Drosophila melanogaster: one gene and its partner. The protein of the gene in region 1 interacts with the protein of each later gene in a pairwise test. Each region holds a gene or a part of one and is shown in the gene's direction. Other genes may lie near its edges.

What was found.
Region 2: the proteins of ebd1 (region 1) and CRAT interact in a two-hybrid assay, tested with the Drosophila melanogaster proteins (one large-scale study listed by BioGRID).

What each region holds. Positions count from the first base shown.
Region 1 is NT_037436.4:681,958-687,603, reverse strand, and holds ebd1 (earthbound 1), read left to right. Parts: upstream 1-2,054; 5' UTR 2,055-2,456; coding exon 2,457-2,576; intron 2,577-2,912; coding exon 2,913-4,538; 3' UTR 4,539-4,719; downstream 4,720-5,646. Other genes in the region: hiro (highroad), read left to right, coding at 232-1,023, 1,077-1,262, 1,318-1,613.
Region 2 is NT_033777.3:6,370,102-6,375,534, reverse strand, and holds CRAT (carnitine O-Acetyl-Transferase), read left to right. Parts: upstream 1-1,509; 5' UTR 1,510-1,689; coding exon 1,690-1,721; intron 1,722-1,960; exon of another isoform or gene 1,961-2,058; coding exon of another isoform or gene 2,059-2,075; intron 2,076-2,154; coding exon 2,155-2,233; intron 2,234-2,298; coding exon 2,299-3,365; intron 3,366-3,428; coding exon 3,429-3,677; intron 3,678-3,736; coding exon 3,737-4,298; 3' UTR 4,299-4,509; downstream 4,510-5,433. Other genes in the region: CG42564 (uncharacterized protein), read right to left, coding at 121-515, 835-1,056; CG10286 (uncharacterized protein), read right to left, coding at 4,641-5,433.

The sequences.
Region 1 (5,646 bases):
TGACCAACCGCTATTCGGTTTGTTATAAGACAATACAATCAACTATCTACACTATCTATAACAATTAATCTTATCTAAATGGCTACTCGTGCAGCCGTTTAATATACTTAAAGGCTAGATTTCTCAAGTGTTCCCTAGAAATCAGGGGCTATCATGAAATTACAAAATCAAAGAGCTTTGTATATTAATAACTATTTAATCGAAATGAGCTATAATTCAATATACTCTCAGCACGCAAGGGCTATGGACCCGGTGATCAGGATTGGGGATTTGTGGATGTCAGGACTGGCGCCCACATGTTCTACTGGCTGTACTACACCACCGCCAATGTCTCCAGTTACACGGAGCGTCCGCTGGCCATTTGGCTCCAAGGAGGTCCAGGTGCCTCCTCAACGGGATACGGAAACTTTGAGGAGTTGGGTCCCCTGAAGCTCGACGGCAGCTACCGCGACTGGACTTGGGTGAAGGACATGAACGTGATGTTCATCGACAATCCCGTGGGCAGTGGTTTCAGCTACGTGGACGGATCTTCTTACTACACGACCAACAACAAGCAGATCGCCCTGGATCTCGTTGAGCTGATGAAGGGCTTCTACACAAACCACCCGGAATTCAAGACTGTGCCGCTGCACATCTTCTGCGAGAGTTATGGCGGAAAGATGGCCCCGGAGTTCGCTTTGGAGTTGGATTACGCCATCAAGCGCGGTGAGATCGAGAGCAACTTTGTTTCGGTGGCCTTGGGAGATCCCTGGACCTCACCCATAGACTCTGTGCTCTCGTGGGCTCCCTTCCTGCTGCAGTTGGGAATCGTGGATCAGGATGGCCATGACAAGATTGAAGCTTCGGCCCTGAAGACTAAGGACTATGTTGACCGCGAGAAGTGGACACAGGCCACTTTGCAGTGGAGCTCCACCCAGTCAGTGGTGCTGCGCGAGTCCAAGGGAGTGGACTTCTATAACGTGGAGACCCCAACATTGGGTGATCAGTACAGGTTGATGTCCAGAGCTGCCATGACTCCGGAGGGTAAGATCCGTTGCGTAACTTACCGAGCTGATTCTCATCAACCACTTATCCAGAGGTCATGTATCGCACCCTCGTGAAATTCGATGTGGATGAGGACCGCGACAAATTGCTGGAGGATCTAATGCTTGGACCCGTGACCGAGGCCCTCGGAATCAACACCGGAGTGAAATGGGGCGCCCAGAGCGGCACCACCTTCACCAAGCTGATGGGCGATTTCATGAAGCCAGCTGTGGATGTTGGTATGTTTCAACCGTCTGGGTGCTACCTCAAATTATAGCCTTATGACACTTTTAGTGGGTGAACTGCTGAACAACACCACCGTAAAAGTGGGCGTGTTCTCCGGAGGACTGGACCTGATTTGCGCCACTCCGGGAGCCGTCAACTGGATCGAAGCAATGGAATGGTCCGCCAAGCCATCTTACCAGGTCTCTCCGCGCGTGGGAATCACCGTAGATCGAGTTCTCGAGGGTTACGAGAAGACCTATGGCAACTTCAGCATGTTTTGGGTCAACCGGGCTGGTCACATGGTTCCTGCCGATAATCCCGCGGCCATGTCGCACATCCTGCGACACTTCACCAAATTCGGTTAAACAAATTAGCCGGAGAAAAGCGTTAAAATAAAGATTATTTTCGAAATGTATGGACTCGTGGGTTTCCAATTGGTGGTGGTTCGATTAATTTAAATTAAATATTGATTACAATTCGCAAAGACTTTATAGTTATATTTTACAGTGCAGTTAGTTGCAGATCTTGTGAAATCAATTCATTCTTAAACTGAAAACAAAATACATACATACATATGTATGTTCTCATTAATCTTACTCTACTTAAAAAGCGATCGCCTGCAGAGTTGCCACATGGCGAAAGTAACAGTAAAGTTGTCGCATGCGCAGTTGCACCCTCTCAGCTGGTCACACGCACACACACTCTCGCACACGCCGACTTCCCTTCCGTTCTAGTTGCCCACGTTGCGCATGCGAGAGCGAGAGAGGGAGCGAGCAGAGAATGAAAACTGCGCGAGATAACGCGGCAGCTATTTTTGTATGGGTCGTCGTCTAGTTCGCACGGACATCGGAAAATACGCAAGGTGCAGCGCACGGCCAGTTGGAAAATCACAATCAGAAGACAAATCGAGTGCCTAGGAAGAGAAAACGAAAGCGAATAGAGCCAAAGCGCATTGAAAGGCCAAAGAAAAGCGAGAAAAGCAGTGACGAAATGATTTGAATTCGCTTGACAGTCAACGCGCATAATCGTAGCCATCGCACACACACAGCCGCACGGACACACACACACAGGCGGGCGGGTGTGTGAGTGAGAGAGCAGAAAGGGTGCAAGGGGTGGGCGAAATTGAGTGGGCGCAGCAGCAGCAACAAAAACAAACAAGACGAAAACAAACGGCAATTGCCGTGTAAATTGCACGGAAAGCACAAACAATGCGGATACGCGAAAAACGCAAGTTGCAGAGGGAGCTGAGGGTGGAGAAGCGCGTGGAGAGGGAGAAAAAGGAGCACAAGGAGGCCTCCAAGACGCAGGACAACAACAACAAGGCGAAGGTAAGTGGCCACAGTCAAGCCTCGCAAAGTGTTTCCACCCCATTTCACTTCTCAAAGAACACGAGTGTAAATGACTTGATCTAGGCGTTTATTTGTATATAAGCTTGAATGAGTATGAGTATAAAAGCCCCATGTATTCCTTGAAACTTCGTCTTTCTTAACTGTTGCTTTTGTTAACATAACTAAATATGCAAAGACCTTCTGTTGTTTTGTCTACATTATTCATGTTCAGAGGGAGCACTGTATCTCTACATTCATGGTGGCATTACTTTGCACGATTTCAACTGTTACCATAAAACCCGGTAATAACAGCACTTTTTTTCCCTTCGTCGTTAGGCCACTGACACGGAGGTTCTCACACCAGCTCCTGCGCCTGCGCCTGCTCCACCAGCAGCACCCACTTCGACTGCATCACCCACACCCACTAGCACGCACACCCCCAGCCTGCCGGCCGCCGAGAAGGTGGCCTTCGACAATCGCATCAAGCGCAAGAATGTCCTGGCCCTCAACGAAAAGGTTGCTGCTCTGCGGGAATACGATCGGCTGCCGGTTTATAAGCACGTTGGCCGGCTGTTCAACTGCAGCCCAGATCAGATCAAGCGGATCGTGCAGCAGCGCGCTGAGATTCTGAACGCGTGGGATCAGCGAACCCGCAGGAGCCAGGACGCCAAGACCATGGAGACGAAGACCGTCAGGGTCTCGATGTTGGGCAAGGCCGTGTACGATTGGATACGCCGCATGATGTACTACAAGGACTTCAGCATCTCCGACGGACTCATCCAGAAGATGGCGCTGCAGTTCAAGAGCTCCATGAACCTGGCACATTTCTTTCCGCACCAGGAGTGGTGCGACAAGTTCAGACGCACCTACAGCATCCAACACAGCGACACCAGACTGTTGAAGATAGGCTACACGCAGGGCTACTCGGTGCAGATCAAGGACATCGTCAAGGACGTCATGTCGGAAAGCATGCCGGAAAGTGGGCCACGGAACGGCGAGGAGGATGACGAAGAGGTCAGCTTGGGCAGCCCGGTGAGCAGCCATCCCCGCAGCTATGTAGAAGACGAGGATGACGAGGTGGATGTCGACGGTGGCGGTATTAGCGGCGAGGATGATCTGGAGGAGGAGCCTGATGTCAAGCCCTCACTAAGCGAACTAAATTTTGCCAGGGCTCTGAAGCCCTTGCCGCCTCTAGTTAGACTGCCCCTCCAAGCTAACACACCGCCAGGCACCACTCAAAAAGTTCTCCTGGCCACACCCATTGTTCCGACGCAAGCGGGCGGACAGCCCATGACCATGACCATCATACCACTAGCCACGCTCGCTCAGAGCATCACCAAGATTCCTGCCCCACAGCAGCAGGACAAAGGACCGGTGGTACCGCCGCCCAAACTAGAGATCAAGCAGGAAAAGGAAATCAAAGTGGAGCCCAAGGACCCGGAAGAGCTCCTGGCGAAGCAGCCCGAGGCGGAGCTCCAGGAGAACGATGACCGAGCACAAAGGGAAAAGGATCTTGAAATTCCGCCTACAGTGCACATAAAAGTGGAGCCAGAGGCTGAGCTGGAATCGGAACTGGACCAAGACCCAGCGGATCTCGATGAAGACGCGAACAATGGTCGCTCCAGTGTCACCTCGCTGGCCGAGGTTCTGGCGGCCAATGTGGAGGACGAGATGGAGTACATCGAGCAGATGCGGCAGCGAAAGGTGAGTTCGCCTGCGGCAGTTGAAAACTCGCTGAATCCTCGCCAGGGCACCAAACGTCGCTATGAGTCCGCCCAAGACGATAACAACAATGGGGGATCCGGCCAAGAAAGTGGGTCCAGTGTCATCAGCTGCGCCGATGCACGCAAGTACCTAAAGCTACTCGAGGAGTTTGCTCTGTACAAGGAGAACTACCGGCTGATTGAGCTGATCACACGAGCCGATGAAGTGATGCGCGAAATGGATGACAATGTGCCGTAGAATGCTCCAAACAGTGAGCGCCACATGAAGGAGAACGAAGAGGAGGAGGAATAGCTGCAGCCAAAGAGTGTAATCTTTGCAAACTGATGCATCTAGAAGATGCACATCGGTCGGATGCAATCAATCATTAGATCTAAGGTGAACATAATTTGTATTCGAACCAAATAAACGCAATCAAACCAAGTTTCTAGTGAGTAAATTTGATGTGGTTATAAAATATTGTGATGAATGAGCTAATGTCAATTGTCAATTGGTCTGTTGGAACTATTTTATACTATGCTCCCGACTGTAACCCTATTATTTTGACCTGTGTTGTATGTTATAACAGCTACATTTCCTTCCACACATTCTCGCCAGAACAAAAAGTCGGCTAAATATACGCGCTAATTGTTTTTTTTTCGAAGTGCGCATGTCTGCCCTTAGTTGGGCTTCTTCTTCTTTTTTTGCCGGGCGGGAGGTCACCCACACACACACACACAGGCGAGCCAGAAGAGAGAAAGAGACAAAGCGCATGTAAATGAAAATAACGGAACAAAGAGGTCAATCATTGAATTCTATCTTGTTAAAGAGAGAATTTCCCTGATTCAGAGTGTATTTTAAAATTTTCCCTGATCAGTGTGAAATTTTGGAGAGCGAGTTAAAATAAATTCATACTTTGCTGATGATTTCCTTATGCCGACAATCTTGATTGGGGCTAAGATGGGTAAGTGCGCAGGTCTGCCCTTAGTTAAAGTCTGAATATTTGCTGCTTTCCTCTCCCGCACACACGTGCACCTAAATTGCGGGGGAGCTGTAAGTCATTGTTTAATCCATATAATTAAAACTAATACAATAAGAAAATCGGATTCAGCTACGTTTTTGTTTTCAAGCAGTATGTGGGAATCAAATGATTTATTGTGCATTTCCACACGCACACATGCACATGCCCATCGGGTCAGTCGGCTAATCAATCACTCAATCGAGACACATGCACACACACCCGCCCGTTTCGGCTCTACATCAATTCAGTTTGTGATTGTCGCTTGAGGAGAGCATAACGCCGGTCGTCAGGTGGTGGAAATAAGTTTATACATATATGAGCATCCAGATCCAGAGCAACTACAACAAT
Region 2 (5,433 bases), on another chromosome or scaffold:
TTTAGAAAGGATTACAAAATATTAAAAAATAAATAATAATCATTTCAGGTTGAAATATTTACCAAATCCCGTAAGGACGCCCGAGTAAACAACCCTATATATTCCTTAAGTGGTACTCACTGAGATTCCTGCTCGACATACTTCATGATGTTCACCATCGAAGTTCTGGATTTTTCCCGCAACCACACCCCTATGATATCCCTAAGGATATCCTCCAACTCTGGCAATTTTCCTTTAATGCCTCGATACCCAACCGTCTGGCCAGCGTTTTGCGTGAACTTCGTGTTCCGGCACTCGTCGTGCCTCAGGACACAATCCCTCACATTGAATTCAGCTAGGTAGGCCAGTTCCGGGTTCCACTTCAAGGTGCCCATCCGACTGGCAGGACTCAGTCCGTTGAACCCTCCTTTGGCCACGCTATCCCTCAACTCATTAAATCGCCTTAATAGGAATCTTTCCACCTTTGGGCTTATCACTATGAGCTCAGCGTCCAGAGAGCACTTGTCGTGCAGTTCCTGAAGATATTATTGGTAACAAGTTAGGATAGTAACGCATTTTGGAAACAAAAATAACCCAGAACTTTTAGTATGACATTTTGTAACGAAGGTATACCTCTCAAAAGCCAATCAATTCGAAATTAATATTCGTCACTAATCAATTTTATCAACAAATTTTATGACATTGAAAATTTGAAAAAGTCCTAAATTAATTTATATTTGGCTTTCTTTCAACCATTTATACCTTATATAGTGTATGCGAACAAAAAATGTTGTTTTGTTAATTTGAATTAGTTGGTTGTTATCACGTGGCACACATTTTAGTTTAGTAACTTACGATTGATGCGTTGCAAGCCACATGTTTGAGTTCTTTGTGGCACAAGGAGGGATCGCAGTAGTCCGGTAGTTCCGTTGAGGAGCTGTTTCCTGGCTCCTCTTGACCTTGCGAACCTCCAGGAGATGGGTGACCAGCTTCGGTGACCGCTGGACTTGGTGTCGTAGTGGCTGCCGTTTGAATGGTCAAACAACTGGCAATCAGAAAAACGACAAGGGCCAACATTTTTCATCCAGAGACCGTGGCGTATTAACGTTAGTTTTTCAAAACGTAGATCAAACGGTTCGGACTGTGAAATCACAATTTGCAAAGATCAAATGATACAGCAAAACCAATGGTAGAATTTTTAGCAGATTAAACATTATATTGATAGTTTGGTTCGTCTCATAAAAAGCCGGAACAAATTATTGGGCAAAGTTTTTTAAAGCTTAATTTTGGATTTCCAAAAAAAAAAAATTGAAATCTTAAAAGTTCACGTTATTCTACTTAATAATATTAACGTTTTGAGATTATCATTCGTGCCGAAAATTTACTAAAGTAATTTTTCTGCAAAGAACCCCCCTAGTTTTTTATGAATACTAGAGCTGGGAATTCATCGATATTATTCACAAAACGTACGCTAGCTTATCATGAACATATATTGCATACTAATAGTATTGCTTGTTTTCTAAATATTAGCTTTAAAGAAGTTTTGGAATTGCTTGTGATTTTAATCGATTGTTATCCATTATTGATAGCACAGTTAAACCAACAACAGGGAGTGCTTATTTACTTGTTGCTGTTTGACAACAGCTGTTTCTTGTTTTGATTTGAACATACAAACATATATAAACATATATGTTTATATAGAATCTATAGATGTTAATTAACCGGAGCAAAACAAGAGTGAGGTAAACTTAAATTCTTTATTTGAACTGATGGGCAAGGACAGTCGAACCAGTTAAGGATTATATAAAAAGTGGTTATATATCTAGATGGTAATCATCGTGTATTTCGCTGGTATGGTATGGATATTAAGAGACGCACTCTTGGGAGAGCGAAAGTAAATAAACCGGTCGCTGATAGCATTTAAGTTGGGCTCCACTCCACTCCCACCCTTCTGCCTACGTGGACTGCTCTTTCGATGGCCAGTTGATTGGCAACTGCCGTTTTGCTTGCACTTGCCTCCTCCGCTGGCTGCTAATCGTGAGCCATTAGTTTATCGCTCCTTATAGCTAGAAGTAGATTATGTACAAATATCAAAGGTTAATTCAGTGCCACAGGCACACCAACCGGTGGTTGGACTTTAAAGTAACACTCGAATACCATTTCTCCGTTTTGCAGCCCAACGTCTGAGCGAATCCTCGAGAAAACCGAAGCCGAGATGAAGTTCCGTGGCAATGGAAAGCTTTTGTGGAATTTGGTAGTGCTCCATATGGAATGCTTGTGATTCTCCGTTCGGTAATCTGTATCCCATTCGATTTCCAGACCAAGAACTCCTTGGCCCAGCAGTCTCCAAATGGGATCGCCAAGAAAGTGCTGCCCGCTAGCAGCTACAGCACCGTCCAGAAGACCATTCCCTTGGAGCAGCCGAATCTGCTGAAGTACCACGTCCTGCCGCTGGAGGAAACGCTGAACCGCTTCATGACCACTGTGGAACCTCTCCTGACGCCTGAGGAGTTTCAACGGCAAAAGGGAATCACCTCCGAGTTTTTAAAAAAGCAGGGACGCGAACTGCAGCTGCTCCTGGAAGAAACCGGCAGCAAGGAGAAGAATTGGCTGGCCCACCGCTGGCTGAAGGCTGCCTATTTGACCTATCGAGATCCAGTCACCGTGTTCGTGAGTCCTGGCATGACCTTTCCCAAGCAAAACTTCAGGGACTCACGTGCTTTCGTGGACTATACCGCCAGGGTTATCTATGGACTGGGAGAATTCAACGACATGGTGCACGCCAACAAAATTCCGATCGTTAAAATGGGCAAGAACGAGCTGGACAACAGCCAGTTTGGCAAGGTATTCGGCACATGTCGGATTCCCAGAAGGGGCACCGACGAGATCGTGTACAATCCCGACTCCGATTATGTGGTGGTGATCTACAAGAATCACTTCTACCAACTGAAGATATACAGTAAGGAGGGAAAGCTCATTGCTGCACCATGTCTAGCTGCTCAACTCGAGAATATCGTCTTGAAGGAAACGCAAGTGGGAGTTCCTTATGGTATTCTGACCACCGACTCCAGGGACAATTGGGCGGAGGCCTACGAATATCTGGTTGAGACTCCTGGCAACCGGGATGCCCTCAAGACCATTCAGGGTGCTCTGTTCACCGTCTCACTCGATGAGGGTACTATCCTAAAGGAAGGCGAAGAGACCGACGAACTTATCCTATCGCTGATCCATGGCAGTGGCAGCAAGATAAACAGCGGCAACCGTTGGATGGACAAGACTATTCAGCTGGTGGTAAACCCCAATGGAAACGTCGGATTCACTTATGAGCACTCGCCGGCTGAGGGCCAGCCCATTGCGATGATGATGGACTACGTGGTGCAAAAGATGTAAGTTGAATAGGGCGCATGTGGTTAAAAACAACTTTATATTTATAATTTATATTATTTTAGGAAGGAAGACCCTAGCTTCGGGCAATCTGGCTCACAGGACTTTGCTCCTGCACAGAAAATACAGTTCTCTTCGAGCAATAAAAGTCTAGAGAAATCTTTGAACGTCGCCCAGGAAAACGTGGATAAACTTGCCGATGCTCTCCAAATGAAGGTTCTGAAATTCAACGGCTTTGGAAAGGATTTCATAAAGAAACAGCGTCTGGGTCCGGACAGCTTTGTTCAGATGGCGCTGCAGCTCGCCTTCTACAAGTAACTAGATGATCTTCCTACAGATTTTCAATATAGCCGAATACATTTACGTTTTGCAGAATGCACTCGGAACCACCTGCGCAATATGAGTCGGCGCACTTGCGCATATTCGACGGCGGACGAACCGAAACTATACGCTCTTGCTCCAACGAATCCCTGGCCTTTTCCCGCGCTATGCAGGACCCAAACGTTACCGATCAGGAACGCGCCGCCAAGCTTCGTGAGGCAGTAGTGTCTCATCAGACGTATGCTAAGCTGGCTCTTCAGGGAAAGGGTGTGGATCGTCACCTGCTTGGACTGAAGCTGATGGCTCTGGAGCACAGCAAGCCAATTCCCGAGTTCTTCAAGTCGCCGGGCTTTGTTAAGTCCAGTCACTTCCGCATGTCCACCTCACAGGTAGCCACTAAATACGATGCTTTCATGGGATACGGCCCGGCGACTGACGATGGTTATGCATGCTGCTATAATCCTCGGGATAATGACATCATATTGGCCATATCCGCTTGGCGCCATTGCCCAATAACGGATCACTTGAAGTTCGTTAAGACCCTCGAGCAATCCTTTTTCGAAATGAAGAATGTTCTCGAGAAGAACCCGCCTGAGACTAAGTCGAAGTTGTAAAAATGTACCAGAATAATAAAATTTAGCAGGGATCAAACTTTGAAGGACTTGATTTAACAGATGAAAGGATTTGGACTAGAATGGACAAACACTTGCTGCACTTGAAAACTAAATATGCTTTACATTTTAGCTATGGAATCAATCGATCTATTAACGCTTTTTTAAGTGGAAAACTTGTTAGTCGAATATTAATAAATACAAAAGACATGACAATTAGGAAGTTACAAATTTAACAGATTTTTTCTGTTTCTATTATCGTCGACAAATATTTTGGCATGCTTAAGAACTAAAAGTATTGTTCTCTGAAACTAGACAATAGCTTTAATTAGTGGTCATGTTAATTTATTTTTTACAGTTCTTATTAAGATAAAAAACAAAGCGTGAAAAATTAGTCTTCACTGTTTGCACTGTGGCTCGTCGCTCCTTTAGCTCCCGTCGCTGCTGCCGCAGTTTAGACTTGAACAACTCCTCTAGTGCCTGGACACGATCGCACATCTCCAACTCCGCGATGATCTGCGGCCAGTCGTCCACTGCGAAAATGTCCATTAGTGCATCTAGTCCTTCAGACAGGGCCCACAGGTCATCTTCCTGGGCACAGTAAGTCAATAGGAAGAGCACTATTGCCTTAACCAGGGGCTCTGAGAGCAGAGAACCCAGCGTACCCAGCATGCGGTTCCAGTTAACGCGAATATTTATATCTGTGCACTTGCTAGCGCCCTCGATAATCATGTTGAGATCATTCTCGGTCATCTGGCCGAAAAGATCCTTGCGAGACTTGAGCAAACTCAGCGAGGAGCGCATTAGTGACGTAATGGCCTCCATAACGGATACATCTTCACTTCCCCTAAATGCTTGTTGACCCAAGATCATCCACATGTTATAGAGGTTGCTGCAGCCCCCCAAATCTTCAGGGGGCAGCACATTGCATAGGTTCTGGAGGCAAATCAAGTATGATACTCTTAATTTTTCCACTTTCTCCTTGATATTCTCTTGCTGGGACACAAGATTTTCCACAGCAGGTTGCAGTGGTTGAGCCTTTTGCCATAGTTTCTCGATCACTTTGTTTTGTTTGATAGTCTCCAAGAAGTTGGCGGGCAGTCCCCCCGATCCACTGTCAGCTGTCTCGTCCTCCATG